4 linked regions of the Rhinolophus ferrumequinum genome follow. The protein of the gene in region 2 purifies or fractionates together with the protein of the main gene of each other region. This does not show direct contact. Links are inferred from orthologs where the notes say so. Each region holds a gene or a part of one and is shown on either strand. Other genes may lie near its edges.

Region 1 (6,996 bases), on a different chromosome or scaffold from region 2:
GGTATCAAAGCAGGTGAAGTATGCTACCACTTTTGCAAAGTGGGAGGAAGAATATGTATTTGCTTATACACGCACAAAATACATCTTTGTAAGGATAAGTAAGAAAACAATACTGGCTCCAACCAAAACTGAGTGACAGAGGACAAATTGGGGAGATTTTCATTCTATACCTCCATCAAACATTTTATATTTTGAATCATACAAAGTTTTTATTCAAAACACAAATATAATAACCCAACAAATAAATGCTGATGATTCCCCATTTCTATCTTTCTCTCTCCACTAGAATTTAAGTCTCATGAAGGCAGACATTTTTGTATATTTCTTCACTACTATATTCCCACTGCCTGGTCCGTAGCTGGTGCTTGAAAAATATTTGTTGACTGAAATACTCCTTAACTTCTCCACTGAATTCCAGACTTGTACATCCAATTGCCTACTTCTCACCTCTGCTTGAACATCTACTAGGTCCTACATCTAATAGGTCCTACTTAACATGCCCAATCCTACCCTATCCCCGTGTAAAAACCTGCTTCCTTCACTTCTTCCCCATCTCAATACGTGGCATCACCATCCTTCAGTTGAAGCCCAAAGCCTAGACATCACTTCTGTCCCAACCAACTGCACTTCCATCCACACCACAAGTTCAATAAATACCTTTAACTCCAAAACATACGGCAAACCCTTTTTTACTTGTCTCTAATACTCAAACTACTCAACCTGCCACACCTTTTTCACTGGTCTCCCTGCTTTCTTTTTCCTCTTAGCCAATCTCCCCCATAGTCACCGTAAATCAGGCCCTATCACTCCCGGCCTTAGAAAAATTCCAATAGCTTTTCAATGTACTTTAAAAATAAAAGCCAAAGGCCTTTGGACGATAAGACCTCATGTAATCTGGCCTAGGCTGTGACCTCACTTATCTTTTACAAGAGCCCACCCTCACTGAGCTTCCTTCGGTTTGTGAACCCAAGCTTGATACCACCTCCACGCATTTGTTGTTCCCCCAGAAAGGAACACTCTTCCCTCAGATCTCCAAAGGGTAAATCCCTCACCCTTTTCAGATACCAGCTCAAAGGTCACCTTAGACAGGTCTTTTCTGACCACAGCAATTAAAGCAGTCTTCTCCCACTCACTACAACTCCCACTCCCAATTTTATTTCCTTCGAAACATTTATGATTCTCTGACATTACTTTTATTTCTTATTTATTGTGTCTCTCCCTTCCCCACCAGAATTAAAGCTCCAGGAGGGCAGAAATTTCATGTGTCTTGTGTATTTTTGTATCCCTAAAGCCTGCAATAATGCTTGGCATAAAAATTGCATGCTTAATAAATACTTAACTGATAGATAAGGCAAAACTGACTTTAAAGAAGGTCTACAAGATTTAATTTAGTGACAGACTGGTGAGAATAAAAGACATGGATAAACTATCTTCACATTTATAAAATACTGAAAATCACCAGCGGGGGTGAAGTAAGACTATTTCAGATGCAGGTGAACATTCAAACATACAGAAAAGGTATTTTTCACACACTGTGTACATGCACACTGTAGAAATGTCCCAACTTATAAACAACATCTGAAAAAAATTTTAAAAGGGTGACTCAAAACATGGTGTACACCTGTTATTTCATCTGTGACTCTTTTGGAAGGGTGTTCCAAACACTGTATTTGGGCAAAAGAAGCAAAGTATAACCACTCTGTTCATTCGTCTGTCTTAGAAAGGAATTCGAGATTCTGAGGTTAGGGAACCGTCTTTTGAGTGTTTTTAAATGGCTATTATGCAGTCAGTAGTCACTCAGAACAAAGTGATTATATCCTATAGTTTACTATGAATGTTGGTTTGGGACAGGTCTAGTTCCAAGATTTTTATACTGTAAAGTCAAAGAATCTATAGTAAATGTTAACAGTGTATATCTTCAAAATTTAAACTTCCGAAGTACTGCCCTTCAACTGGTAATAGTACTAATCCCTGGGGGAAATCCATGAATCCAAGGCTGTTGCTGTTAATAATAACAGCCTGCAATTCACAGACGTGTTATGCACATGCACGTATTTGTGGAGTGGCAGGGAACGGTCCACACTCCCCAGGGTGTAAGTGCCCTGAAGAGAGCCTAAGGGTCTTATTTCACGAGACCCTAAATGTGGACACAGGTCGAGCATGTACGTCGGCTACTCCTCCCCACAGCTATCAATCTCCGCTGTCTGCGGAAACAAAAGTGAAAATACTCATGGTAAGGATGTAGCGATGGATGCCCTCCCCGCCAAACAGAGTTGTGTAGCCCTGCGAGCACGTAAATAAGCAGATGAGTAGACACACTCTCACCTTCCCTCCTTCGGAGGAAAATGGGGCCGAGGGAGGGGCGCCCAAGGCCGGGTTGGGGAGGCCCGGAATCCAGGCCAGAGGGTGGCGGGCTTAGGGGTCAGCGCTCAGGGTAGCCAGGGTCACTTACCATCTTCCTTGACCACCCTCCTCCACTCCTCGCCCCTCCCCCCTCCTCGCCCCCAACTCCTTTCCTCCGCCCAATCTCCGCCACCCATCAACCGGTAAGGGAAGTTTCCCCGCGCCTGCAGCCGGACTCCCCGACCCTCAGCGGGGTTACCTTCTGCAGAAGCAGGACAAGGGGCAGGGGACTAGGGGAGGGGAGGCAGCCCGAAAGAATGAAGGACGAAGCCCCGGCGAGGAAGGTGGGCGGCGGCGGCGGCTGTCACTCGCGTTCCCCTGCTCACAGCGCTGCCATTACTGTGCCCGAGGCCGCCTCCCCGGCCGGCCGCCGCCACCCGCCCTGAAGACACGGGGGGTGCTCCGCGGAGCCCGGGAGCCCGCGCGCCGCACGCTCACCTGCCGCCGCGCGGAGACACAGAGAAGCCCCGACGGGCCAGGGGCGAAGGGGAGGGGGGTGGGTAGGAAAGAACGGGCTGGTTACTGGATCCGTGAAACAATCGTCCTCCCAAGCGCCGGGCTTTTCCCGACACACACCCTCCGCGCTCCCTCTTCCGCTGCCTCCGAGTCCCCCCCTTGCGGCGCAATGGTAGAGTCCCCGTTACGGCAAGCGCAGGGAGCCTGCTTTAGTGCAATTGCGAAAGGCCGCGGAAATCAACACAGAATCCGGACGGACTCCTTGCGGTCCTCACTGTGAATGAGGCAATGACGGTTCGCTGAGCTCAAGAGACTCAGTACTCAGCACGTTTGGGGATGACATGCTAATAACAGTAGGTCAGAAAGGTGTTTTCAACAAAAGTGTTTTCCTTTGAGTTGTTTCAGACCTACCGGTATGTGAATATTCTCAGGCACCACAATCTCCTTGCCACACCACTTCCATGGGGTTTTCAAATCATCAGAAATATATGAGCAATACTGTTTGTCGCTCTGACACACTCCTTTGCTAGTGGGTTTTCATCTGTAAACAAATTCTGAAACGTTAAGGTATTTTCAATAAAGAAACTTCTCGGTGTTGACCACTAACTTCCCACCTCCCCACCACCACCATTATACCAAGTCTAAAGGGTTTTCCTCCCTTACAATTTTAAACGGCAATGTCGACAAAAATATGGATTTACCTAGCACCTTCCCATGTACAAAAGGAACAAAAGCCTGGCTATGTTACTTACCTGCCTCTCCTAACCACAAGATCTCAGTGGTCAGTCTTGTCCGAGTATTGGTCAGTTCCTCATTTGTACGTTTCCAGCAAGCCTTTCCGTTCCAACCCTCTTTTTTAAACTATTTGTACCGATCCTTCAAAGGCCCATTTAAAGTCCTGTCTCCTGACCTGATAAATCCCACCAGTCTTTCTCCTCTAATCTGCTTCTCATGGCACTTGAACTTTGTTTTAATAAAATTATTATATACTAAATTCAATTCAACCATTTGTTTCCATTATACGACCTTTTTTCTCACATGTTCTCCCTCTTTTAATTCAGCAATTCTCAAAGGGTGATCCCCAGACATCTTGAAATCTCCAAGACCTTTTTGGGGTCCCAAGTTTAAAAATAATCTTAATAATACAACATGTTCTTTCTCTTTTTTATTGGGTTCACATTTGTACTGATGGTGCAAAGCAACAGTAACACTGCTGATATTGCCTTAGCAAGAATCAAGAGAATGGTACAAAGCTGTCCCAGTAGTCATTGGATCGCTGCCACACACTCCCAGTTTTGTTTTTTTTCTAATTGATTTAGGAATATCCTTGATGAAGTAGTAAAAAGTATTAATTTTATAAATGTCAACCCTGTGTACATGTCTTTCTAATATTTTGAGTGAAGAAAAGGGAAGTCCATATACACTTCTGCTATATACCAAAGTAGGATGGTTATGGAAGAAAGACACTTGTGTAGCTGACGTGTCATCTGAACTAGCTGCTTTTTTCATGGAATATCATTTTCCCTTGAAAGAACAACTGACAGACAAACTAATATTACTCTGACTTGGGAATTGACAAATATTTCTCCAAAATAAACAAAGTGAGCCTAGCACCTCAAGCAAAACAGCTGACGGTATTTGTTGCCAATAATAAAATACAGCTTTTAAGTAAAATTTCAAAATTTGGAAAACTAGTGTTCACCACCACGAGCTTGAAAGCTTAAAGACTTTTCTGTTGAGACTGTAGTGCTATTAATGAATGTGACTTTTGGATGTTGTATGAGATATGTCAACGTATAGAAGAGCTACATGCCACAATGAACCAATATTTTCCAAATGATCAATGCAGGATATTACAAAAGCATGCATGAATAAAAGATCCATTCAAATTGCAATAAAAGATCCATTGGTCTAATGGATAGATAGGGGTGTGTGTGTGTGTGTGTGTACACATAAAAAACAAAATACAAAATTTCCTTGATTGGTTTTAGACTCCTCATTACAACTAACCTTTAAGAAACTGCCACTTGTCAAATTTTCTGTAGTGTCAGAGAGGACTATCCACACTCATCCGAAAATACTATTAAATTCTCCTCCTAAGGCCTCGTATTTTCTTCATACACCTCAACCATAGAGAATCTAGCTATCTTCTTTTAAGCCAAATATTAAACAGATAGGCAACATGGAAAGCAATGCCATTCTTCTCGTTAAATTTTTTTTATTTTGGAAAATACAGTTACTTTTCAGAAAAACATGCAATTTATGTTAACATATGTTTGGGTTTATTATTTTTTAATTAATAACTAGATTTCTTAGATTTCTCTTTTTAATCCTAAAATGGTAACTATTGATAAATATAATGCACATAAACACAAGCTCTTTGAGTACCTCAACAATTTTTTTAAAAGTGTAAAGTGGTCCAGAGACCAGTTTGAGAACCGTTGCCCTGACTCATAAACTACCTCTGCTCTCACCACTTTCCTTTTAAATTCTAGCTAAGATTCAGACTAGCATGAACGGTGCCAAACAAGAATCACTACAACAGTTCTCTAGTTCTAAATCTCAGAGATCTCTCACCTTTGGATAGCTTATCCAACCAATATAATAGGAAAATTACATTTCTAAACAAGTTACAGCATCCAAACCCATAATATGAAATTGAGATTACTTCTTCCTTCCCCCGTCCCCAAAATAAAGGCATCCTGTGAAGAACCCTTCAAGCCACCCCTTTAAGCAATGCTTGGTCTTCACCCCAGAACTAACCTCAAACCCTAGTTCATTTATAAATTCTTTCCTTGTTTTACTTTTTAGCAAGACTACGTATATCACTAAACTATGTTTGGACTTTGTATAATGTTTACTGAATTCCTTTATTTTTTACTGATTTCAAAAGTAATAAATGTTTCTTTGTTAAAAAAAACAACTAATATTACAGAAATAATCATATTTAGGCTGATAAATATTCCTCAAGATATTTTCTTTGAATATGATTAAACACTTTTACACAAGTCCGATCACATTATAGATATGCTATTTTGTAGCTAGCTACTGATCTTTATGAAACACTTAAATAATTCTTAGTCAGGCAAAGTAATTTATAAATTAATATTTAAAGAGGAAAATTATTGAAAAATATTTTAAGTAGAATATCTCTAAATATCATTTCTTAAATCGATAAACAAAGTATGTCCATTTCTATTCATTTTCTACTTGCGAGTATACATAATTTTCTCTTTCAAAGTTTTCCAAGTTCATTTCATAATCTCCCTTTTACCTACTATTTGAAGAATCCAACCTGAATCATTCCCTGTCTTCATAAACCTCCTTTATAGACATAAAACCCAAACAGCCCTAATTTTTCTGGGACATTTATAATTTCAAATAATTTATCTCATTTTTATATTCCATACACTAAATCTGAATTGTCTTTTCTTAAATCTTTACTGGGAATTTGCATTTCCTGGTTATACCATTTATTAAACATATTTCCACCTTTTGTTTCTAGTAAACTTAAAAAAATGAGATACTGAAGAATAGTTTTCATGTTTGGATAGCTGATTAAAGAGTTGTTTTGTGCTTATAAAACTGAAAGTCTTCAGAAAAATATGTGACTGTAGGACAGGGGCAGGAATACGCAAGATAAGCTTGGAGAATATTGTAGTGTAAGAAAGTAAAGAAGTACTCAAAAATAAAAGCATCCACATTGATAGGAGTTATATATCAAAGGGCACAAAACTGAAAGAGCTCCCAATGGCCAAAGCTAGAACAATTTGAGCAAAAAAATAAAGTAGTAGTGGATTATAACCCAAAGTATAAAATAAATATCAATGGGTGCACACTAATATAAATAAATGATTGAATAAATTACTAAATGGGAAAGAACAATCTCATGCAGGAGAATTCCAAATAAATTTGTAGATACTTCACCACAAAGGAGGGAGAGGCTAACTCTTCATTCTTTAAGTGTGAACCAGGAAGAGTAACTTCCTTCCAAAGACTACAGTATGGAAAGAGAATTTTAAAAGGGTAACTTTATAGTGCAGAAACCTGACAAATACCACCTCAGCTAGATGATTAAGGTCAACTTTAGTAATAACTCATTGTTGATAGTATGTTCCCTTGATGTGATGTGGTAAG
Region 2 (6,967 bases):
TCACTTTTTGCATTAGAGCCTTTAGCATATCAATCATTGTTATTTTAAATTCCTGGTCTGGTAATTCCAAAATCTCTGCCATATTAATTCTTGTTCTGATGTTTTGTTTATCTTTTCAAATGGTTATATTTTGCTTCTTAGCATGTCTTGTAATTTTCTTTCTTTTTTCTCTTTCTTTGTTGTTGTTGAAAGCCAGACACATTGTATTAGGGGAAAGGAACTTAAGTAAATAGGCCTTTACTATAAAGTTTTATGTTTATCTGGCTAAGAATTAGTCTGTGTTATTATTTGCTGTAGCTGTGGTGTCTGAGGCTAAAATTTACTCTAGTGTCCTTGTTTTTGTTTCTCTTGTTGTCTTTGAATGTTCCTAGTGACTCTTTAAATGGGCTCTGAGACTTGCAGTTCTTTTTGCTATAATCCTGTTATTACACTGGAACCCTACTGTTGTGGTGTTATGGTAAGGTGAGGGAGAAGGGAAAGCATTCTATAGTCCAATGATTAGGTTTTAGTCTTGTGAGCCTGAGTATGTGCCTTCTCCTATGTTGAAGGCTAGAGAAGGCTGGAGTTGGGTGTTTCCCTACCCCAAGGTTTGTTAGGCTCTGGTAAAATAGTTTTCCTTGAGGGCTGACTGTATGAAGAACAGAGAACTCTGGGACTATTTTAAAAAGGTTAGTTCCCTCCCACCCCCGACTCCAAAAAAAGCAAGAGGTTTTTCACAGTGAGAATCTGGTAGGGCTCCTAAAGGTAAAACTCAGGAAAGTTGTGAGGCCCCTCTGAGGCTGAGCCCCCTTGGAGTTTTTCAACTCTCAAGCTGGTCTACACAGAGCCTCCAGCAATTCCTCAATTACAGTGTGAAGTGTTTCTACTGATATTGGCTCCAACTGTGATGCTGGCTTCAGGTGCTGACTTCTGCTCCTGGTAAACTGTGATCCTCTGATAAGCAGTTATTCTCTATAACCATTGGTTCCTCCAGTTTTCACGGCAGCAGTTCCCTGAAACCACAATTCTCTGATGGATCTAAGAAGAGTTGTTGCTTTTCAGTTTATTCAGCTTTTTTTTCTTATTGTGAAAATGGGAGCTTCCAATCTCTTTCATGTTGGACCAGAAACTGAAAATCCCTTGACATTCCTTTGTAAATTTATGCTTAAAATGTCTATCATAATTAAAATGTGCTAGTGTTAAATTTTTGGTCTATTCTTATTCTCAATAAACTCAGACAAATATACATGTTTATTTTCTGTTGTCATCCTTGAAATAAAAAAAGGAATTTTTAATGTTTATTAACTTCTAAGCACTTTCCTTCCAAATGATATACTTTTTGTTGTTGTTCGTGTAACAGAATAGGTTAGGGGTGGGGTGGGGGTGTGGAAACTGAGGGTAATGAGCCAAGAATCACTTACTGACCACTAATTAAGTCTACTAACATAGTTTGATACACTCTAAATTACCTGAATCTGATGTGTTTCACTCTTTAAAAGGCTCAATGCTCTACATTATTTAGTAGTAATCCAAATTTCAAGTTTAACTTGTCTCCTCCTGAATCACTGCCCAACTTCCTACTAAATACGTGTCAAGGGTCAACTGAGTCATTTGAAAATAATCTTGCAGTCTACCTAGAAAGTTCTGCAAAGTAATTTGGAATAAAATTTGAACACTTACAAACATTACAAAGTGATTGAATAAAGCCATTCATTAAGGTTTATTTTACATTGTAACAGCCTAAGTCCATTTATTGATAGATGGTTTTAAAGAAGATGATGGGATAAAATTTTATCCTACAGAAAATTTTGCCTTTTATTTAACATTCTGTAATTTAACAGGATTGATTAAATTAGAGAATACTATTTGGCTCCTCTGTAATTATGTGAAAACAAATTAGTTAAATATTACTGCTTTCCGCGTTCATATAGGTATGTGTATATACGAAGGTATGATAATTAAGTTCGCGAATGCATCCTAGAAAAAGTGCTACATACCTCATTGCTGAATATCACAACTGTTACCTTCGAAGTACTCCACTTGGGAAGCTATGCACTGATGCCAGCACCTAGTCCACACTTCAAAGCAATTTTGGAACTCTTTTTCTGGAACGGCCATCAGAGCTGTTGTATTACCTTTGATGTCCTGAATGTCATCAAAATGTCTTCCTTTCAGTATTTCCTTTATCTTCGGGGAAAGAAAGAACTCATTGGGGGCCAGATCAGGCAAGCAGGGAGTGTGTTCCAATAGTTATTTGTTTACTGGCTAAAAACTCCCTCACAGACAATGCCCTGTGAGCTGGTACATTGTCATGATGCAAGAGCCATGAATTATTGGTGAAAAGTTCATGTCGTCTAACTTTTTTGCGCAGCCTTTTCAGCATTTCCAAATAGTAAACTTGGTTAACTGTTTGTCCAGTTGTTACAAATTCATAATGAATAATCCCTCTGATATCAAAAAACGTTAGCAAAGTCATTGCAACAAGTTCATGAACTTAATTGTCAGACCTCTTAAAGATCTTAAAAAACAAGTAACATTAAGATCTTGAACTATTATCTTTGTGGGTGTACCGACCAGTTAAAGAGGTGCGATGTGAATTGATAGCTGTCTTATCGGAATTTAATGCTGTTATATAGATCATTGTTTTTACACAGCAATATAATTGAAATCCACTAAATATCCACATTAATTAACATACAAACCAAAGCTAGATTGCAACAATATAACTAAAAAGGCAAAGGTGAGAAATGATCTAGTGTAAAGTGGATAAATATATATATACCCAGTACTTCTTTACTGATTCAAAATACATTTTTTTTTAACATTTAAAAGACTGACAGTCTTGAAATGTATGCTTCCAAAGCCAAAAAGTGATTAAATCTTATTCAGTAGCTTGCAAAGTCATGTTAGCAAACAGGTAATACTGGCGGCCACCATATCCAGTTAACTCGGGTTCAGAGGTCCCCTGCCCAGGTCTGGGTGGGGATCTAGAGAATACTTCCTTTTTCCAGTCCACGCAGTGAACTCAATTCCAGGTGATAAGTCTCAAATTAAGGGTCGTCTTCCTTTTTTTCGAATCCAAGTAAGATTTTTTTTTGGGGGGGGGGCTCTTTTAAAAGCAAAAAAAAAAATAGAAGTCTACTTAAAGCCATTTTTCTTGCTCTCCCTGAAATTCGGCTTGATGCTCTTTTGTTAAAGCCACTTATACCTATTTGTATATGCTTAATATAATTTCAAACTTTAAGATTCGACTACTTCCTTTGAGAGGTTTACAGGAAGAGAGGTTTATTTTCATTTACTCAGTAATCAAACTTCATCACAGGGAAACAGTGGACAAGGAGAGCACCTTTGTGTTTTCTACCGCAAAGAGTGCAGTCGGTGACACGGTCCGTGGTTAGGTAACCTGACAAGAAAGACCCCATTGTAATACATGTGGGCAAAGGGACCGAAAGGTTTGCAGCCACGACGTGAAAAGTCTGTTTTTTTTCAACTGGGACTCAGTAGAGCTGGCGGCAACCCTGCACTGCACAACCGCGGAGGAGAAAGAGAGCGGGAGACCTGCAGCAACGAGCAGGAAATATGATGCTGGCTTGGGACCCACAAACCGAAATTTCTTCTCAGCAGCGCCTCCCAAAGCCAGCCCCTGCCTTCCCTAGGAGAAGGCGCCAGGTCCCCGAACTCAGGCTGGCCGCACCCCAGCGCCTTTCTTTTGCCTCCGCAGCTGCACACAGACGAGCACGTGAGCGCGGCAGCGCGTCTCAGCTGTGCCTCAGCTGACCGTCTCTTGATTGGCTGAGACAGACGTGGGCCGGGGTGGGGACTGGCCGCCTGCGTCGCTCGCCATTGGCTTTCAGGGAACCCGCCTCCCCCTCAGGTGAGGCGGGCTTGCGGGAGCGCGCCGCCGACACTTCTTCCCGCCCCCGCGCGCGCCTCCGAGCGCGCCTCCGCCCTTGCCCGCCCCCTGTCGCTGCCTCAGCTCCAACAAGCACAGAGCCGACTCGTCTGAGGGGACGCGAGGATTGCCACCGCTTCGGCCAGTGATTCGGATCAGGCCCTGACTAGCAGCCCGAGGGGAGGCTCTTCTGAGCCGAGCCTAGAGTCCGGCGATTGCTGCCTGCTCCTCCTGCCTCTGGTCTCACGAGGGGTTTCCCGCCTCGCACCTCTGGACGTGCCTCTCCTTCTCTCCGCGCGTGTGGAGGGAGCCAGCGCTTAGGCCGGAGCGAGCCTGGGGGCCGCCGGCCGTGAAGGCATCGCGGGGACCGATTCGCCATGGAGGGCGCCGGCGGCGCGAACGACAAGAAAAAGTAAGCCCATGTCTTCCGCGGGCCGCGTTCTCCGTGGCGCCCCTGCCCGCCCTCCGCTCCGGGCTCGCGGGCCGGCCTCGTCGTTCTGGGGGGGGGCCGCCTTTTTGTTTCTGCCTCTTCTCTCCTCCCCTCTTTTTCCTCCAACCTCGCGGGCCGGGCTCCCCCTCTGTCCACGTCGCCATCTTGTCGTGGGGGGCGGGAGACGCATTGAAAGTGCTTTCAGGGGCCGGGGGCTGGGCCCTGCTCGCCCTCCCTTGCAGGCCGCCGGGGCCTCGCACCGCCTCCCTATCTGCGTCAAAAAGCCAGCTTGCCCTGTGCCCCCATTCGGGTGGACTTCCCCTAGCCAGAAAACCCCGGGAGAGAAATGAGCCACAGCTCGGTCGCCGCCGTTTGTACCCGAGCTTCTGCTCCTTCCCGCCCCCATCCTCTCCGGTTCCATTGAAAACTCGGCCCCGGGGCGAACCCTGCACGCGGGTCCTGGCTTCCCAATGGGATCGGGGCCCCGGGTTCCGGACCGTGGCTCGCGTGGTCGAAAGCGATACTGCCCTGCGGTTGTCCAGCCGTGGGGGGTGTCTGTGCCTTTGTGCATTAGGGGTTTGTCGCGGTGGCCTGAAGATGCTAACTTTTTAGTTTGCACGTGCAGGTTTTGTTTTGTGTTTTAATCGCCTTGAAAAACTTCCCTAGTCTGAGAGTGGAGTAACGGGAATTTAGAGAAACAGCAACATTTTAAAGAGAACATCAGAATTGGATACTTGTATTTATATCACCTGTCAAGGAGCCCAGACATTACAAATGAATATATGCCTCATTCATTCTTGAAAGTATTTTAGTGAAAACGTAGCGCTTGGCTAAATTTAGGCAAACATTTTTAATGAGATTGGAAAAAAAGGTATGTGATCAGAGCAAATGAAATACATAACTAAAAAGTTGCAAAAATTTTTAGAACTGTCGCATTTTCCTGAAATTGAAGTATATTAAAGGAAAACCTTCAAAGTACGTCTGAAGTAAATAATCATTGTTAGAATTTAACGCAAGTTTTTAGAACACCTTGAAGTTTGAGTCTAAGTGGTATATTACAGGAATGTTAGTTGAAACAGTGGGATTCAATGACCCTCCCCCCCCACCCACACTGAATTTGGTCCACTGGTATTTTAACCTTTGAGAAAATCATTTTAAGGAATCGAAGATTTATAATAAAGAGTTGTGGTTAGTAGACTGGCTTTACTGTTAAGTCCTTCCACTCTCCTGGCAGAGATTAACTTCCCTAATCAATGTCAGCAGAAGATAAATTTGTTTATGTTCTTGCTGTTTTGTAGATGCCGTTTTGGTCCTTATTCAATGGAATGATAAATTCTCAGTTTGTGACACCAGAGAAAGCACTTATAAAATTCAAAAACTCACTAAACAGACCTATACTTAAATTCTAAGAGTTCCCAAGAATAAATTACAATTAATTTTGCAGAAGTGATTACAATGCTTTTGATGAAAAGATGTGGTCTCTGTATTGTAAACCTAAGGCAGATTACCTCTGTGTAGTGCCAGTTTTCTGTTATGATATGCTGAATCACATTTAATACTGTACATTAAGTTATGCACCGATCACTTCCTTTTTATATACAATACTGTACTCATTTCTCCTTTCCAATTCATGAGTTGAGAATATCATAAGCAGTTTTAATACAAATATTAATTAGCTACTATGCATCACCCACAATTCTAAACTAGTTTTTGGATTTTTTTCCTCAGTCCCATGTGTTATTTTCAAAATTTTATCTTTTGAAAATTTAGCAAATTTGGATCAGATGGATTCATATTTCTTTATATGGAGGTTTTTAGACCTGAAAGTTATGTTAAACACTTAATAAATGGTGGCTACTCAACAATTTTAGGTACTGTTTGTTAAGGATGTCTGGTTTTTGCCCTTTTTAAACTAATTTTAAAACCTTTTGAAAAGATAACTGAAAGATGGAGGGGCAGGGATTTTCTTATTACAATTTTTCCATTTTAAATGAGCCTCCAGAGTCCAGGTGGGGGAGACAAATTTGTCTTTCTTTAAAGAAGGTCTAGGAAACTCATAGCTGCAGGATTGGAAGAAATCAGATCAGAGGATGGGTATGGTTATAATAGATTTCACATAAGGCCTTTGATGTTGATTCCTTAGGGGTAGCGGCTGGCTTTATTTAGTAGCACATTGATACAGATTTTTAGATTTCAAAGGAATGTCAAGAGGTTCATCGTTCAGTTTCAGATTTCAGGCCAGACTTTCAAAACCATATAGTTATTGGATCATTAAAGTAAAAACTCTGAGAATGAAGTCCTTAACTTCCTTCTTTAATTTAGGTCATTAAAAGTCTAGAGCTCTCTCATTTATTAGTAACTTTTTTCTTGTTACAATTTTACTTTGATTTTCTACTTGTTGGAAGAAGAGTATGCCTGGTGGTTGAGCCAGACACCTCACCTCTAAGTTAGAATCCAGCCTTTTCACATTGTTAGCTTTGTGAACTTGGGCAAATTACCGACTGCTTCTGAGCCTGTGTCCAGCTTTTGAAATGATAATAATAGCAGCCATATTAGTAGTTATTGTGAAGATTAAATGAGATTATGCCCAGTGCCTGATTTAGAAGTCTTGGTAACACTGTGTACTTGAAAATAGGTGTTACCTAGTAAAGTTCTAGTTTAAACTT
Region 3 (6,909 bases), on a different chromosome or scaffold from region 2:
CACCCCAAGGGACAGCCAGTCTTGACCTTGCATCTTACAATTGCTTTTTTTTTTTCTTTTTTTTAAAGATTTTATTGGGGAAGGGGAACAGGACTTTATTGGGAACAGTGTGTACTTCCAGGACTTTTTTCCAAGTCAAGTTGTCCTTTCAATCTTAGTTGTGGAGGGTGTCATTCAGCTTCAAGTTGTCCTTTCAGTCTTAGTTGTGGAGGGCGCAGCTCAGCTCCAGGTCTAGTTGCTGTTGCTAGTTGCTGGGGGCGCAGCCCACCATCCCTTGCGGGAGTCGAACCAGCAACCTTGGGGTTGAGAGGACGCGCTCCAACCAACTGAGCCATTCGGGAGCTCAGCGGCAGCTCAGGTCAAGGTGCCGTGTTCAGTCTTAGTTTCAGGGGGCGCTGCCCACCATCCCTTGCGGGACTCCAGGAATTAAACTGGCAACCTTGTGGTTGAGAGCCCACTGGCCCATGTGGGAATCGAACCGGCAGCCTTCGGAGGTAGGAGCATGGAGCTCTAACCACCTGAGCCACCGGGTCAGCCCTTACAATTGCTTTTTAATAATATCCTTTTTGTTTTACAAAAGAAATACATTCTTAGCTCTAAAAACTTGGAACATAGAAGCTCGAAGGATCAAGAAAATCACCATCAAAGCCCCAGTGTAGAGGAAGGGCCGCTCTGGCATGCTGGCCCACATGGGGACGTGTGCTGCCGCACCCAGGTCCTTGGCCTGGGCCTGGCCACGTGTGTCCAGGCTGCTGGGCAATTGGAGGTGCAAAGGCTGGCTGACAGTGGGCAAGTGCCATGAGTCACCCATTAACCTTGATAGCCCCCCTCCAGGGAGCCATTACAAGATGGCTAGGACAGGAGACGGTTCTCAGGGCCGAGTGTGCTGTGTACCCAGTGGAGGGACAGGCTCACGCCCTGCAAAGCATCTGGAGAGCGCGTGCCCACAAACCTCCTGTGCGGTGACATTGGCCTGGGACCTTGCTGCCACTGAATGGTCACCACGGGAGGGCCTCTGGCCTGCACGGGGCTCCCGTGCCAACAGCCAGGGCGTGTGGTCTCGGTTCCTGCTGGCAGGAACCACAGCCGGTCGGTGTACACTCAAGTGAACTGCTTTCTAAGCACATGGCTTCCTGGCCTGGGATGTAACTGCATTTTTCTGTTCTCTCACCTGGTAGAGCTCACAGCACCTCCAGCAGCTGACAACCTCCCACACCCTGACAGCCCTGTGGCCATCAAAGGGATGAAGATGAAAGGCCAGGCCAAACCCGAAAGACCCTCCAAGGCCCACCCTGCCAAACCTAAAGGCTACCAGCGGCCCCCTAAGGTCCGGAACTACAACTTCAAGGACTGACTTCCTTGGCTACCCTGCCCTCTCCTCCTGTCCGTCTCTCCCACTCCTAGTTGGCCCCTGGGGCCTGTGCTTTAATCTTCACCTCAGGGATGCGTGTGTGTGCCCACATGGGGAGGGGGGTGCTGTGAGCTGCTGGGGTGCCTCACAGACCGAGTGTGGACTGCATTAAAGCCGGTTGCCTGCTGGCCTGGGAGCTGTTTACCTGTCCTATTTGGGAGGTGTCTGGGCATCAGGACTATGCCCAGGAGAGCCAGGTTGCCCATGTCACAGCCCACAGGCGCCGGCAAGCCGCAGGGCATGGAGAGCAGAGGCCCACCACAAAGCAGGTGGACCCCACAGAGCACAGACCGTGAGGAATGAGGACCGTGAGGCTCCGTGACCCCACGCCAGACCAGAGACTGCCTCGCCAAGCTGCCCCCACATGCTCTTTCGTGCGTGCTCTCGTGCTCGCGTCAGGGTGCAGCTGGGGTGGAGGTGGCCCCAGACCGGGCAACTGCAAGGGTGAGAAACAAACTTATGCCCGTCACTCCAGGTGCTGCAAAGCCACACCCATTCTCCCCCACCAGAAGAACATGTCTCAGGGCACCGTCCTGACACCGTGGGTTCTAGGCTGTCACAGCCACATCGCCTGTCTTGGGAGGGAGGGCAGTGTGGGGAGATGTCCCTGTGCTCAACTCCCCTGGCGTTTGCACCTGGTTGGCACAGCAGTGCTGAGGGCTGGAGACAGGCCTGTCCTCACCCCAGGTGGATGGAGCATGACTGTGCCCTCAGGCTGCCTAGGTGCAGCACTGATGCTTCCCAACGGGGCCAGCTCTCACCCAACAGGAGAGAGGAGACGGGGAAGGCTGGACCCAGCCCTCCCTGTGTGTGACCTCTTGGGCTTCAGTTAGCCCCCGTGTAAAATGTAGACAGTGTCATCTACCTGCCTGGCTCACAGGTGCTGCCGGATGCAGGGCCGGGAGATCACAGACCTGGTGTGCGGTTCTGTGGCTCATGCCTCCCTGGGCATCGGCAGTGTGCTTCACTCAGCCCCCTGTGAACACGCGGGCAGGGAGGTCAGCCTTCTCACGGGGCCAGAACTGCTCGTCCTGGGCGCGCGGGCTTCCGGGAGAGGCAACGGCGGTGACTCGGTCAGCGCCGCCGCCGGGAAATTGCAAGCTGGAGCAGCTGCGCGGGAGGCGGGGGATGGAGGGCGGGGGGTCGGTGCTCTGCTGTTTCCGGCATTGCCTCTTCGAATGCCTCAGGGCCACGTGACTTCTTTTAGTTGAAAAAGTGAATGGAGATGCCGGGTCACTTTCGGTAGACTCACTTAAGAGCTCATGATCGAGTCTCCGACCCACCCGCCCTCCGTGGTGCGAGCCCAGGGTCTCGAGCCCAGCCCGCCCAGCCGCTCCTGGCCGGGGACCCCAGGTGTCTGATAAGCTCTTAAATCAAAAGAGGAAAAAGACAACCCGCGGAGAGGTTGTTCAGAACAGCAGTTCCGCTGTGGGAGCTCCAAGCTCTCCCCTTTTGCTGTCTTGCCCTTCCTTCCACTGTGCAGGAGCCAGAAGCCCCCAGTGAGCAGCGGGGCAGGGAATTGTAAGTTCCATAACCGTTTAAGCAGAATTACAAAGGGAGGGCCTGCGCCAGTGAGCCGGGACGCAGAGCTGAGCCTCCGCCGGTGCGCATGAGCGCGCGTGGGTGCGAGTGGCCAAGTGCGCGCGCGAGTGCCTCTGCCCAGGGAGGCTCCTTTGTTCGAATCACACCAAGCGGTGTCCGTGCAGAGCCCGCTCGCCAAATGGCCGCGCCCCTCCCTGCGGCCGGCTCCGGGGAGCCGGCGGTGCGCCCACTCGACCCCTGCTGGCTCGGGAGGCGTCCGCCCGGCTTCCCGCGCCGGCCCCGCGAAGTGGGACGGCCTGGCGGAGAGGACCAGTCCCCTGCTGCGGTGACCGGCAGTAACCCCGGCCAGTGCGCCCCCGGCTGGGTCAACGACCGCGCTCGCCCGCCGCGGCCGGCGCAGCGCTGGGGCCAGCCCATCACCCTATCGCCTAGCAACGCCCCCTCGCGCGCCGCCATTGGGCCTGCGCGCACGCCCCCGGCCCCCGATTGGCCGCGGCGGCAAAACGAGCCACGCCCACAGTCGGCTGTGCCCGCCCCAGACGCTGGCTTGTGCGTCCGTCCGTATGGGGGTCCGCCTGGACTCTAATGTGGCCCCGGCGTGACCGCCCGCCCCCACCCCGAAGTAGCCCAAACACGCCCGGTCCCGTTTAACCCGCGCGCCGCGCACACGTGGCCCCCGCGGCCCTGGGGGTGGGGACGCACCGCGTGCCCTCGGGGCGGGAAACGGAAGTGGAGGGCGGGGGTGATGCGGCGCGCCCCGCCCCAGCGCCCCCCGAGTCCTCGGCCCACCAGCTAGGCACCTCCCCCCAGGCGCGGCCCCGCGCAGGTCTCGGCGGCGGCGGTGGCGGCGGCGGCGCGCAGCATCACCCCACTGGCGGCGGCGCGCCGGGTCCCGGGGCGCAGCCCCGACGCTCATTGGCCTGGGCGGCGCAGCCAAGCTGTCAGCCCATGTGGCGTGTCCGCGCGGGGACGGCCGCAGTTAAATAGAGTCGGCGCCGGCCTAGAGGGAGCCAGAGAGACGGCAGCGGCCTGGCCCCTTTCTCCGCCGCGCTCCATCCTCGCTCTCAGTCGCCCGCCCGCATTGCCGCCCGCGCCCAGACCAGGTACCAGCGGCGAGCCCGGGGTCGGGGCGGCGCGGCCGGGCCCGGAGGGCGCCGCCGGCCGGCATCCTCCGGCCACGGGGCGCCCGTGGTGAGAGGTCGCCCTCCGAGGCCCGCTCGGGTCTCGCGGTCCGAGCCCCGTAGAGCGTCCGGGGCCGGGTGATGAAGGACCCGTGCGCCGCGCCCCAGGCCTGGTGGGACAGATGGACGATGGCGAGGGGCGGACGCCAGAGAGTGCCGCGAACAGCCATTTTGGTCTCGGAGTGGGGTTGGCCAGGCAGCTGCGAACCCCCGAGGGCCGGTGGGAGCACCCGCCGCCTCGTGCGCGCCGGGCCCCTTGGCGCCTTCAGAGGTCTCCATGCGGGCCGGGCCCCTGAGCTCCTCGACCGCGGCACCACCTCCTCTCCTCCTCGTGTGCCGCATAGCCGAGGCCCAGCCCCAGCCGGAGGCTCCCTTCCAGCCAACCGGAGGGCCGGGAAGAAGGGAGGGATGTGGTGGAGAGGCCCCCGGAGCCGGGTGAGGACCGGCTTCCCCACCACGTGGGCGCCGGCCGGAACCCCCAAAGTTCTGGGGTGGCAAGCAGCTCCAGCCCGTTCGGTGGCAGCGGCGGGGCGGACTGGCGAGGCGGTGCGCGCTGCGGGGGTCTCCACCCCCCGTGTGGGCCCCGCCGGACTCCGCGTGAATAGCAAGTAGGGAAGAACAGAGCTGGCGCTTTCTGGAGGAAGCAGCCGCCCCGGAGCTGGTGCCCCTGGGCCCGCAAAGAGCTCTTTATTCAGCGCTGGGGGAGGGGGCTCCTTCCCTGCTGAGACAGCAGGGACACTCGGCCACCCAAGGAAGTCGCTGCTCTCCTCTACTCAGCCCGCCCTTGTTCAGAGAGACCCAGGAGGGCAAAAGGTTGGCGTGCCCACCCCCACCGGACATTAGCACCACAAGGCCCTAGGGCATTGGCAGAAGTTGCTAGACCAACCCTGATTTTGTCCCTTCCCTCAGGGGCTGCAAAGGAGCCCCCGTCCTGCACCCACAAGCTCAGGGTGGCCAGGGCTCCCTCTGCAGGCGCCTTGGGGACCTGGGTCAGGCAGGCTGCATGGAGGTCAGCAAGTAGTATCCTGCGGCCTCACCTGCACAGGTGTGTGGGTCTGCGCAGCACTTGCCTGCAACCTGACCAGGAAGTTCTTCGGGTTGGCCCACTGTGGAGCAAGGGCCACTTTTCCACAGAGCCCTGCGGGCCTTGGTACCCACATCCCTGCCCAAGTCCGGGCAGTTTGGTGGCATCGGGCCGTGGAGGGTACCCTGGGGTGCTGAGTGAAGGATGGGCTGCTGCTCCTCCCCACCCTTGATTCCCTTCCCTCAAACCTTGGCGCCCGTTCTCCCCTGTTTGATTTCCTGGGCCAGCTTTTAGCAGGCTGACGGCCAGGTGGCCCTGTCCTGGGAAGGGGTTGGGCCCTTCTCTGGATGGTCCTCCCAGGAGCACTGCAGCAGGAGGTTGCAGAGGCCCCTGACTGCTAGGGGGGTCCACAGAGCAGCAGGCCATCCATGGTGGTATCACCCAGGTCGAGGCCCCAGATGTTACAGGCCAGTGCCAAGGCCCAGTAAGAGGTGAGGGCTGGCTGGACCAGAGTTGAACCCACACACACCCTGGGCTTCCATCCGGGAGGCACAGGACCAGGAGCTGACCATTTGTCCCTTGGTCTGGGGGGGGCCTTGGTCCTCCATGCTGCTCTCAGACCTGTGAACGGGCCAGGTGGAGGAGGGCAGATGCTGTTGGGGCCAGAGCTGACCCGTGTCCACCCCGCAGGGAGCAGCATGGAGGAAGTGGTGATCGCTGGCATGTCAGGGAAGCTGCCCGAGTCGGAGAATGTGCAGGAGTTCTGGGCCAACCTCATCGGTGGCGTGGACATGGTGACAGAAGACGACAGGCGGTGGAAGGCCGGTGAGTGGGCTCTGGGCTCTGGGCTCTGGCCTCAGGAGGCAGAGGGTGAGCCCTAGTGTGCCTCCTTGCCCACTTTACAGCTGAGCTATGTGACCTACTAGGTCCCGGCACCGGGGATAGGGCCAGGGGTGAGGCCAGGTGGGCGAGAGCCCGGCCGGCCACTGCTGGCCCACATGTCCCAGGTTCTCGGGAAGCTGGTTTGACTCCCTCACACCCAGTAGCTTCCCCCGCAGGGTGGCTCTACCTGATCTACAGGGTGTGAGTCAGCGTGGCAGGGCTGGCCCAGCTCGGGCCCAGCAGAGGGTCCAGGATGCTGGCGGGCGGTGGGACGCTGCGGTGCCCCACCACGCTCTGCTCTGGGGTCACAGTCAGCCACACGCTGCCAAGTGACACGCAGGCCTGGCAGAGAGGCCCCTCTTGGGGCTGCTGCCCGCCCTCCTGAGGAGCCAGCTCCCCTCGCAGCAGGGCCTCCTCCGTGGGTCCTGCGGGGCCTGTGACATCCCACAACAGGCGCCGTCCATCTGCCCATGTCTGCAGGACTCTACGGCCTGCCCAAGCGGTCTGGCAAGCTGAAGGATCTGTCCAAGTTTGACGCCGCCTTCTTTGGGGTCCACAACAGGCAGGCGCACACAATGGACCCCCAGCTGCGTCTGTTGTTGGAGGTCTCCTACGAAGCCATCGTGGATGCAGGTGGGTCACCAGGAGCTGCTGGCCAGCCTGGGGCCACAACCTGACGGCAGTGTTTCTGTTTGTTCGCTTCTAAAAGCAGCACATGTTCAGAGCAGAACTCTGAGTGCAGCAGATCCAGGAAGAAGGGGAGCCGAGGTTGTCCCCGGCCCTGAGGCTCAGGAGGCGTGGGCCCTGGGGCAAGTCGGGGTGTCACAATGGCAGGGACGTATCCAGGCATGCCCTGATGCCCCAGTTTG
Region 4 (7,635 bases), on a different chromosome or scaffold from region 2:
CAGGAGGGAGAGAAGAATTGATAAAGCTCAGAGAGGGGACAGGTAGGACCAAGAGAACTTCCATTCATTCAATAAGTATTTATTTAGTGCCTGTTTCCTGGGCACTGGGGAGACAAAGGAGCACCAAACAGGCAAGGACCATTTTTTGGAACTGACAGTATAACGAGGAAGAAAGAGAAGAAACTGTAAACAGATAAATGAGAAATATAATAAGAATTCCAGAGGAAACAGCATATATAGAGATTAAGGGGCTGGGAGCAACTTTAGGTGACAGTAGTTAGACAAGGACTCTCTGAGCAGGTGACACCAGAAGGGTGAGAAGAAACTAGTCATGTGAAAGCTGGAGAAAGAAAAAGTATGGCGTGTGCAAAAGCCCTGAGGTGGGAAATGGACTGATTGGAATTTAGTGGGCAGAATAGAGGTGTGGGGGGTTGGTGGGTGGGTAAGCAGGTACTGAAGGGGATTAAAAAAAAAGAAGAATTCCTGTATCCTAAGCCTCATGGGAAGCCACTGACGGGACAGAATGACATCGTATGAATGATATTTTAAGCCGGAAAAGAGCTTAGTGTTGAAAATATTGAGTAGGGAGGACTGTTCTTCAGACAGGAGGAAAGGGAGATGCTTACATGATGATGCCTGAGAAGTGTTTTTGCACAACGAAAGTAGAGATTCAAGGAGTTCGTGTTGCACAGATCTGCTCCTCTGTGATTTTAGTGAGGGGGAGTTGGGCAACCCTGTGTGAATGAACCTTTCTGTTGCTGCGCCCCGTGGGGGTCCCATCACCCACACAAGTTGCCCGTTGCCCCTTTTGGTCACTGCAGTGATTGCCACCTATTTACCGCCTCCAATGTTCTTCTCCAAATCTTCTCTTTCTTCCCATGTCTTTTTCTTGATTTAGAGTTTTAGTACTAATTCCTCCAGGGAAGAGGAACTAAATAAAACATTTCTAGAATTTTACAAAGCCCGGTAAGTCTCAATTCCTGATCTAGCCTATAGTTCCTCTGAGTCTCTCTGAGGTAATAAATGGAAACCTATCCTGACTACATATTGATGTGTAACAAACCACCCCAAATCTTAGTGGCTTAAAGCAACGACAACATTTATTTTGCTCATGAATTTGTAATCTGGGTAAGGTTCAGCAAAAAAGTCTCTTCTCTTGGGGTGGCCGGTTAGCTGAGTTGGTTAGAGCATGATGCTAATAATATCAACATTGCTGGTTTGATCTCTGCATGGGCCAGTGTGAGCTGTGCCCTCCCCAACTAGATTGAAACAATTACTTGAATTGGAGCTGATGGGTCCTGGAAAAACACATTAAAATGAATAAAAGTTTTTTTTAAAAAAAGGCTCTTCTCTGTTCCATTTGGCCTCCATCGGCATGGTTTGAATGTTGGGGGCTGGAATCAGCTGGAGTCTGGCTCATTCACAGTTGATGGTTCCTATCAGCTGGGTCTTAGCTGGACTCTTGGCCAGAACACCTTTGTGTGGCCTCCACGTGGAGCCTGGGCTTCCTCACAACATGGCGGCTGAGTTCCAAGGGTGAGTGTACCAGGAGAGAGTCAGGTGGAAGCTGTATCACCTTTTATGACCTAATCTCAGAAGTCAGACAGCATCATTTCCACTATATTCTATGTATTAGAAGCAAGTCGCCAAGGGAATGGAGCTAGACTTTATCTTTAGATGGGAGAAGTGTCAGATAATTTGCGGACATGTTTATAAACCACCACAAACTTGCAAGGCTTCTGCACTCTGCCTTATTCACTTGATGGGTGGAGAATGGGGGCCTCATCTTTTCCCCTCCTTTAGACCCTTCCTTGAGGATCCAAGAGGAAGGTTAGGCCTGGAGATATGGTCAAGGAAGAGCAGTTATTCAGGCTTTCAAAGTAGACACTTGGATTTGAATCTTGACTCTGCCATTTTTACCAGGTATATATATGTGGGGAAGTCACTTAACATTGGGTAAGCCTCATTTTCTTCATTTGTAAAATCACAGTATCCTCCGCATGGGGTTATTATAAGGATTAAATGAGTTAATACATGTGCTATATAATACATACTTAGAGTACTGGCTAGTACACAATAAATACTCCATACGTGTTAGCTATTGCCCATATGAGTGTTCAATACATGTTTATTACTATTCAATTAAATCAGGCTTAGGTGAGTTCTGGGCTAGATGTCACATGCTTTCAACTATGTAGGCAGAGAGGCCAGGCTTTGGAGTCAGCCAGACTGGATTCTCATTCTGAGTTTACCTTTAGTTTCTGGCTATGGGACCTTGGACCAGTCTTTCATTTTCTCAGCCATAGTTTCTTCAGTTGAAAAAAAGAATTATAATAGTGCCCTACCTCACTAGATTCTTGAGGATCAAATGAGATCATCTATGTAAAAACCTTAGCTCAATTCCTGGAACATAGTAATTACTTAATAAATGTTAATCATTAATTTTATTTACCAGGAAGTAGGCTAATAAATGGGGCTGAGGTGGATAGGGAAACTAGAATAGGGAAACAACCTGCTAAGGGAGCCCAGCAGAAGAGATTAACTTTGACAGGAAGAATCTCAGAAAGCCCAGAGGAAGAAATATAGGAACTGAGCTTTGAAGAATGAATAAGAGTTTTTCAGGTAGGAAATGGGGAAAGAGAAGATATTTTAGGTGGAAGGGAGATCTTTAATGGCATGAAGCTACAGAGGTGCTGACATGTTTGGAGGAAGGTGATGAATTCAGTGTGGGAGGGTAAGGTTTGTGGGATGGAGGGGATGAGGCTGGAAAGGGGAGTTCAGGTCAAAGCATTGGCTCAAGTGAAAGAAACTGCCATCTGTAAGCGCAGGGGGATTGGCAGAGTGTGGAGAAAGGCCAGTGGCGGGGCTGGAGAGAGGTTTTGTAGGTGGAACAGATAGGCTCAGGGGTAGATTTTCTGTATGAGGGAAACAAAAGCCAGCTGCTGAGAAGGCAGGAGAAGAGGGCAGGGTATTAGTAGATGGAACAAAGTCATGAGATGTGAAGCTCAAAAACCTGGCTCTGGTATACCTCTGAGTAGCTCCTGACCTGAGATTGTCATACTATTTTGGCCTTAGTTTCCTATCAATAAATAATATGGCCTCTCCTATCTGCTACACATAATTATTGTGAGAAAGAAAAGAGGTAACGAGTGTGCAAGTACTTTGTAAGCAGTAAATAACTAAAGAAATGTTAGACCCTATGTTATTAGGGAGGCTGTCAACTGCATGGGATAATACAGCTAAAGCAGAGTTTAGGTGAGGTGGATCACCTCTCACTTGGATATAAATAAGGTGGTAGAAAGGTCCAAATCTGGTCTTTGACTGGGCTTCAGTTATCTGGGGAACCGTGAGAATTTGTGGGTAAAAGTGTATACTGTATATTTCTAGGGCGAGAATCCAACAGAGTCCAGAAAGATCTGTGACCCTCTCCCACCACAGGTTAAGAGTCATTGATTTTTCTCACCAGAAATTAATAAGAATAGCTATCCTTGGGGAGAAATACTGGTGGGGGAAGGAGGGAAATTTTCATTTTTAATTTTCAACTTTTCTGAACCGTTTGAATTTTCTAACCACGAATATGTGTTAGTTTCATTGAAAATAACTGTCATCAGGGGTTATCTGAGTGGTAACATAATTAGGCCCTTTTAAGATTTCATCTTTATACCCCTTTGTATTAAACACTCACAACAAACACAAAAACAATAGCTGTTATTAAAAAGAAAAAACACCTGATAGTATCAGCGCGCGCACACGCACACACAAATTACTCCATCATGCAAAGTACATCCTCTATCATGTAAGGTAAAAAAATATCTACATTTTCTATAAACTACTGGCTTCAATGCAGTAAAACTTGGGTTCGCGCTCAAGCAGAGTAGGCGAAAAAAAGGCAGGCAATTTCAACTCAGAAGCATAAAAATATGTATACGTGTCAATCTTCATATGTACTGTCTTCTGCATTCTCGTGAACTGGCCAATGTGCGAACAGTGGCGTTTGATGCTTAAAGCGACGCAACCGAGAACAGGGTTAAATCCACTACCCTCTCCCCACGCACTCTAGTAATTACTCTATTTCCACGTCATATTTCCGGGTGTGTGTGTCCCGTCTCACGCAGAAACTGCAGTTCAAAGCTGGCGGGAGTCACCCATGTTCTTTTTGCTGTCTCCAGAAACCCAGTTGAGGTGTTGGGCCCCGAGGACCTGGCGATATTTTAGGACTGTCTAACTGGCTGATTCCCACGTGGTTAGTGACTCCCAACCTCGCCGCCACGTGGTGTCAAGGGCCGGGAAAAGGGAGAGCAAGCAGATGAGAGCCGCATCAGGGGCATTTAAAGTGTCTTGACGTCACGCACTGCCAGGAACTCAGCTGAGTTTTTAGCAGGACATTCCGGTCATCTTCCCTCCCTCCCCCTGAGCTTCTGTGCCCGAGTCCTTGGCAATTCCCCTGCTGTAGTGGAGGGAGGAGCACTAAGCCTTCGGAACAGCCATCAAGGGGCGTTCCCAGCCTTGTGTGACCCGCCCTTCCTTCCAGAAGCTGTCCTCATTGGTCAGTGGGTGGGGCTTCGGATGTACGTACATGCACCAGGGCCTCTGGGTGGCTGAGAAAACTGGCCGTCTCATGAATTATGCAGAACGGCGTGTCGCGGCCAATCTGGGGATGGGCGGGGATTGGCTGGAGGGGCTGTAATTCAGAGATTTCCGGAGCTGCGGCGGCGTAGACTGGGAGAGCCTGGGGTTCCGACTTCGCGGCGGAGGGAGTGAGCCCGAACCGATCCTTGGCTAGCACCCCCGCACGGCGCGCTCTCTCAGCGTCTGCCAGGAGAGACCCAGTGGACCGAGGGAGCCCCGCGGCTCGCATCCCGGCGCAAGCGCACCCCGGCCTGTCGGGCCTCAGCCGGAGAAACAGGTGAAGGGGGTGAAGGGTGGGGCCGTTCTCCCCCTACGGCTCCTAGGCCTGGGGACCCCGGGGGCACCGGAGTGACCGGAGTGACTGGGGTGTTTGGGGGAGTTGTGGATCGAAACTTCAGTGGGGCAGGAGGATACAAAGAGACACGGAGAGTCGCTCTGAAGGGACAACTCCTAGGGATGACAGGAGCGGGCCTCTGAAGGGACAGGGGGCGCTGGAAGGAAGTTTCGTTCTTCAGAGAAGGGGGAGGCGCCGAGGAAGAGAGAATGGGTTCGAGGGGGAGGACCGTGGGACAAGAGCACTCTAGGGTGGGGGTGGCAGGAATGAGGGACAGCCCCCCGACTTCCTGCTCTCTGGGGCTCCGGGGACGTTCTGGCCACAGGAGCGACTGTCACGCCGGCGGAGATCACGGGGAGGTGGGGGGGGTTGAAAAGAGCCTTCCCCCCCAGCCACTTCCTCGGCCTTGCGGTGTTCTCGCTCCTTTAGGAGCCAGCTTTGCCCCTCTGGAGGTAAGAATAGGTGTCTTCCCCCTACCGTCTCACGAGCTGGTTGGTTGTGGGTAGGATTATTGCATAAGAATCAAGTTTCCTGTAGGGAAATTGGCAGTCTTGTGCACTCTTTCTAAATTCCCTCCCGTCTTTTACAACGTTAAGCCCTGCTTCCCTCCGCCCCCTTCTAAAACAAAATACCCCCCCCCCCAATCAAGCCAGCTCTAGAGAGAAATAAACCTCTTTTCTCCTTGACATTGTTCTTTTATAAACACCTGGTAAACTCGGCCAGAAGATAAATAATTGAGACCTTCCGTTTACTGGGTTGTGGTGTTGCTTAATTGCATAGGGCAGAATGCACCAATCGAGAGTGGGAGTTTTCTGTCTCAGAGCCAAGATCTTGGGTAAATGCAGAGGAGAGGGAAACAAAGACAGGCTGGCCTTGGTGAAGCCATGTGTGCAAACTTTACCTGTGTTTGGGGTGTGTGGTTGGTCTTAAGTTAGCAGAATTCATACTGTTACTCAAGTTGCTTTTTCCATGTTTAGTACACATCCCTCTGTGTTTATATCAAGTGGGTGTATGGTGTTGACAACACTTCTTCTTATTAAAAATGTACATAATGTGTGTCTGCTGGTTTTTATTGTGTGTATCTAAAGGGTATATTCTGTAAATGGGTTGTAACTTTTTGGCTAGTTGTGCTGATAAAGCATTGGTTTGAATAAATCAGAATAGTGAATCATCTCAGTCTTTTAGATGTGGATTTAGATTGTGTTATGACTTGATTCAGTCAATTTTATATTTTATTTTATATTAAACATCTGTGTTCCCTGAATCAATACATTTATTTCCTTATTACATGTGCCAGAGTACTAGCAGAATCTGCTGGAGTACTAGCAGAATTTTTGCTCAGATATTTGCATAGTGGGATGGGGGAAAGAAACGTGAAATACAGAAAAATTGTAGAAGATGTTGGAGGGTTGATCTTAGTCTATAATTTGTTAGCACACCTTCCACAAAGAACTATAGCAAATTTATTAATCTTTTAGTTTTATATGTAGTTCTTTTGGGAAGAATAATCATTTAGAAATATCCACAGTTATGACTTGACCCACAAGGCATAGATAGTTCCTGTAACATTAATCCTATTTTGTGGGTAAGAAAATTGAGGCAAAGAAACAAGATACTTGTCATAGTGGTGGAACTCACACCTGTACATTTTGTGCTCTTTTGACTATCTATGCTTAAATATTTGGTCTTGATTTAGAGTGAGTGTAGTCCCTGTTGGGAAAGCTGTCAGTGAAATTCTAACATATATCTGGACAGTGAAATACCACCAATAGGCTGTCCTACCCCATAGGAGATACGTAATAAACAGGAGAAAAAAAGTACAAATAGGGTTCGCTTAGGTTATTTTTCTATCTAACTGTGCTGTTTAACTTGGGAAGTAACTAACTTTTTAGTCACATCATTTACCATCAGAATTTAGCTATTTGCTAATGGAAAGAAATATTTATTTAGGCAAGTTTGTAGATGGACAGTCGTGGCCTAAATGTTATTTAAACCAAAGTGCCTTGTGGCTTGATCAGTGGTCATTTATGTCTCCAGAAAGTTGCTTTCTCCTCCCTGCCTGTGCCTGTCTTGACATTCAGATGTGAGATGAGGCAGAGGTAGTGACTATTCCAGACACAGTCTAGCACATTTTCACCTTATAGTTTTCTCAGAGGTGGTGTACAAATATTTACTTTTTGCAACTTAGTGAAAGTTGCTGTGAAGATAAGATGCCTTGTTGACAGAACTTGCAGTCTACTGAGGTGACTTGATAAATGTTTTATCCATACAATGCAACGTGTCCTCAAAGAGATGATGAGACATTAAGCCTATGATCTCTATTGTATATTAAAAGAAAAATGAAAACATATAGCACAGGCATGGAATATATCCATTATCGTGGAAAGTTATTTTGGAGAGTGCTGCACTAAGCGCTACAGGTTTTAGAGGAACGAGAGGTCACGAGACCTGGAATTATCTAGGAAGTCGTCTTGCCAAAGGAGAAATTTCATCTGGGTCCCAAGTAATGGTTGGAATTTGATAGGTATAAAGAATTAGGGGTGAGGAGTTTTGGTGGTATAGCACAAACAAAATCCTGGTAGATTAGGAAGGTAAGTAGGAGAGAAGGAGTGCCTACTTCTAAGAGGTCCTGAATGCAAGACCAAGGATTTTCAGTTTTGACTTTTTGTAGG

Evidence for each region.
Region 1: the proteins of HIF1A (region 2) and CUL2 purify together in Homo sapiens (affinity purification with western blotting; 7 studies listed by BioGRID and IntAct, with this or other methods). This does not show direct contact. The link is inferred for Rhinolophus ferrumequinum from reciprocal best matches to the Homo sapiens genes HIF1A and CUL2.
Region 3: the proteins of HIF1A (region 2) and FASN purify together in Homo sapiens (affinity purification with western blotting; 3 studies listed by BioGRID and IntAct, with this or other methods). This does not show direct contact. The link is inferred for Rhinolophus ferrumequinum from reciprocal best matches to the Homo sapiens genes HIF1A and FASN.
Region 4: the proteins of HIF1A (region 2) and STAT3 purify together in Homo sapiens (affinity purification with western blotting; 4 studies listed by BioGRID). This does not show direct contact. The link is inferred for Rhinolophus ferrumequinum from reciprocal best matches to the Homo sapiens genes HIF1A and STAT3.

The regions. Positions count from the first base shown.
Region 1 is NC_046288.1:5,835,113-5,842,108, forward strand, and holds the start of CUL2 (cullin-2), read right to left. Parts: upstream 3,003-6,996; 5' UTR 2,842-3,002; intron 2,779-2,841; exon of another isoform or gene 2,603-2,778; intron 1-2,602.
Region 2 is NC_046289.1:33,431,331-33,438,297, reverse strand, and holds the start of HIF1A (hypoxia-inducible factor 1-alpha), read left to right. Parts: upstream 1-3,965; 5' UTR 3,966-4,248; coding exon 4,249-4,283; intron 4,284-6,967.
Region 3 is NC_046304.1:54,837,639-54,844,547, reverse strand, and holds the start of FASN (fatty acid synthase), read left to right. Parts: upstream 1-3,891; 5' UTR 3,892-4,056; intron 4,057-5,848; 5' UTR 5,849-5,856; coding exon 5,857-5,983; intron 5,984-6,520; coding exon 6,521-6,673; intron 6,674-6,909. UniProt on the Homo sapiens protein: Fatty acid synthetase is a multifunctional enzyme that catalyzes the de novo biosynthesis of long-chain saturated fatty acids starting from acetyl-CoA and malonyl-CoA in the presence of NADPH.
Region 4 is NC_046304.1:38,168,568-38,176,202, reverse strand, and holds the start of STAT3 (signal transducer and activator of transcription 3), read left to right. Parts: upstream 1-4,620; 5' UTR 4,621-4,906; intron 4,907-5,394; exon of another isoform or gene 5,395-5,415; intron 5,416-7,635. UniProt on the Homo sapiens protein: Signal transducer and transcription activator that mediates cellular responses to interleukins, KITLG/SCF, LEP and other growth factors. Once activated, recruits coactivators, such as NCOA1 or MED1, to the promoter region of the target gene.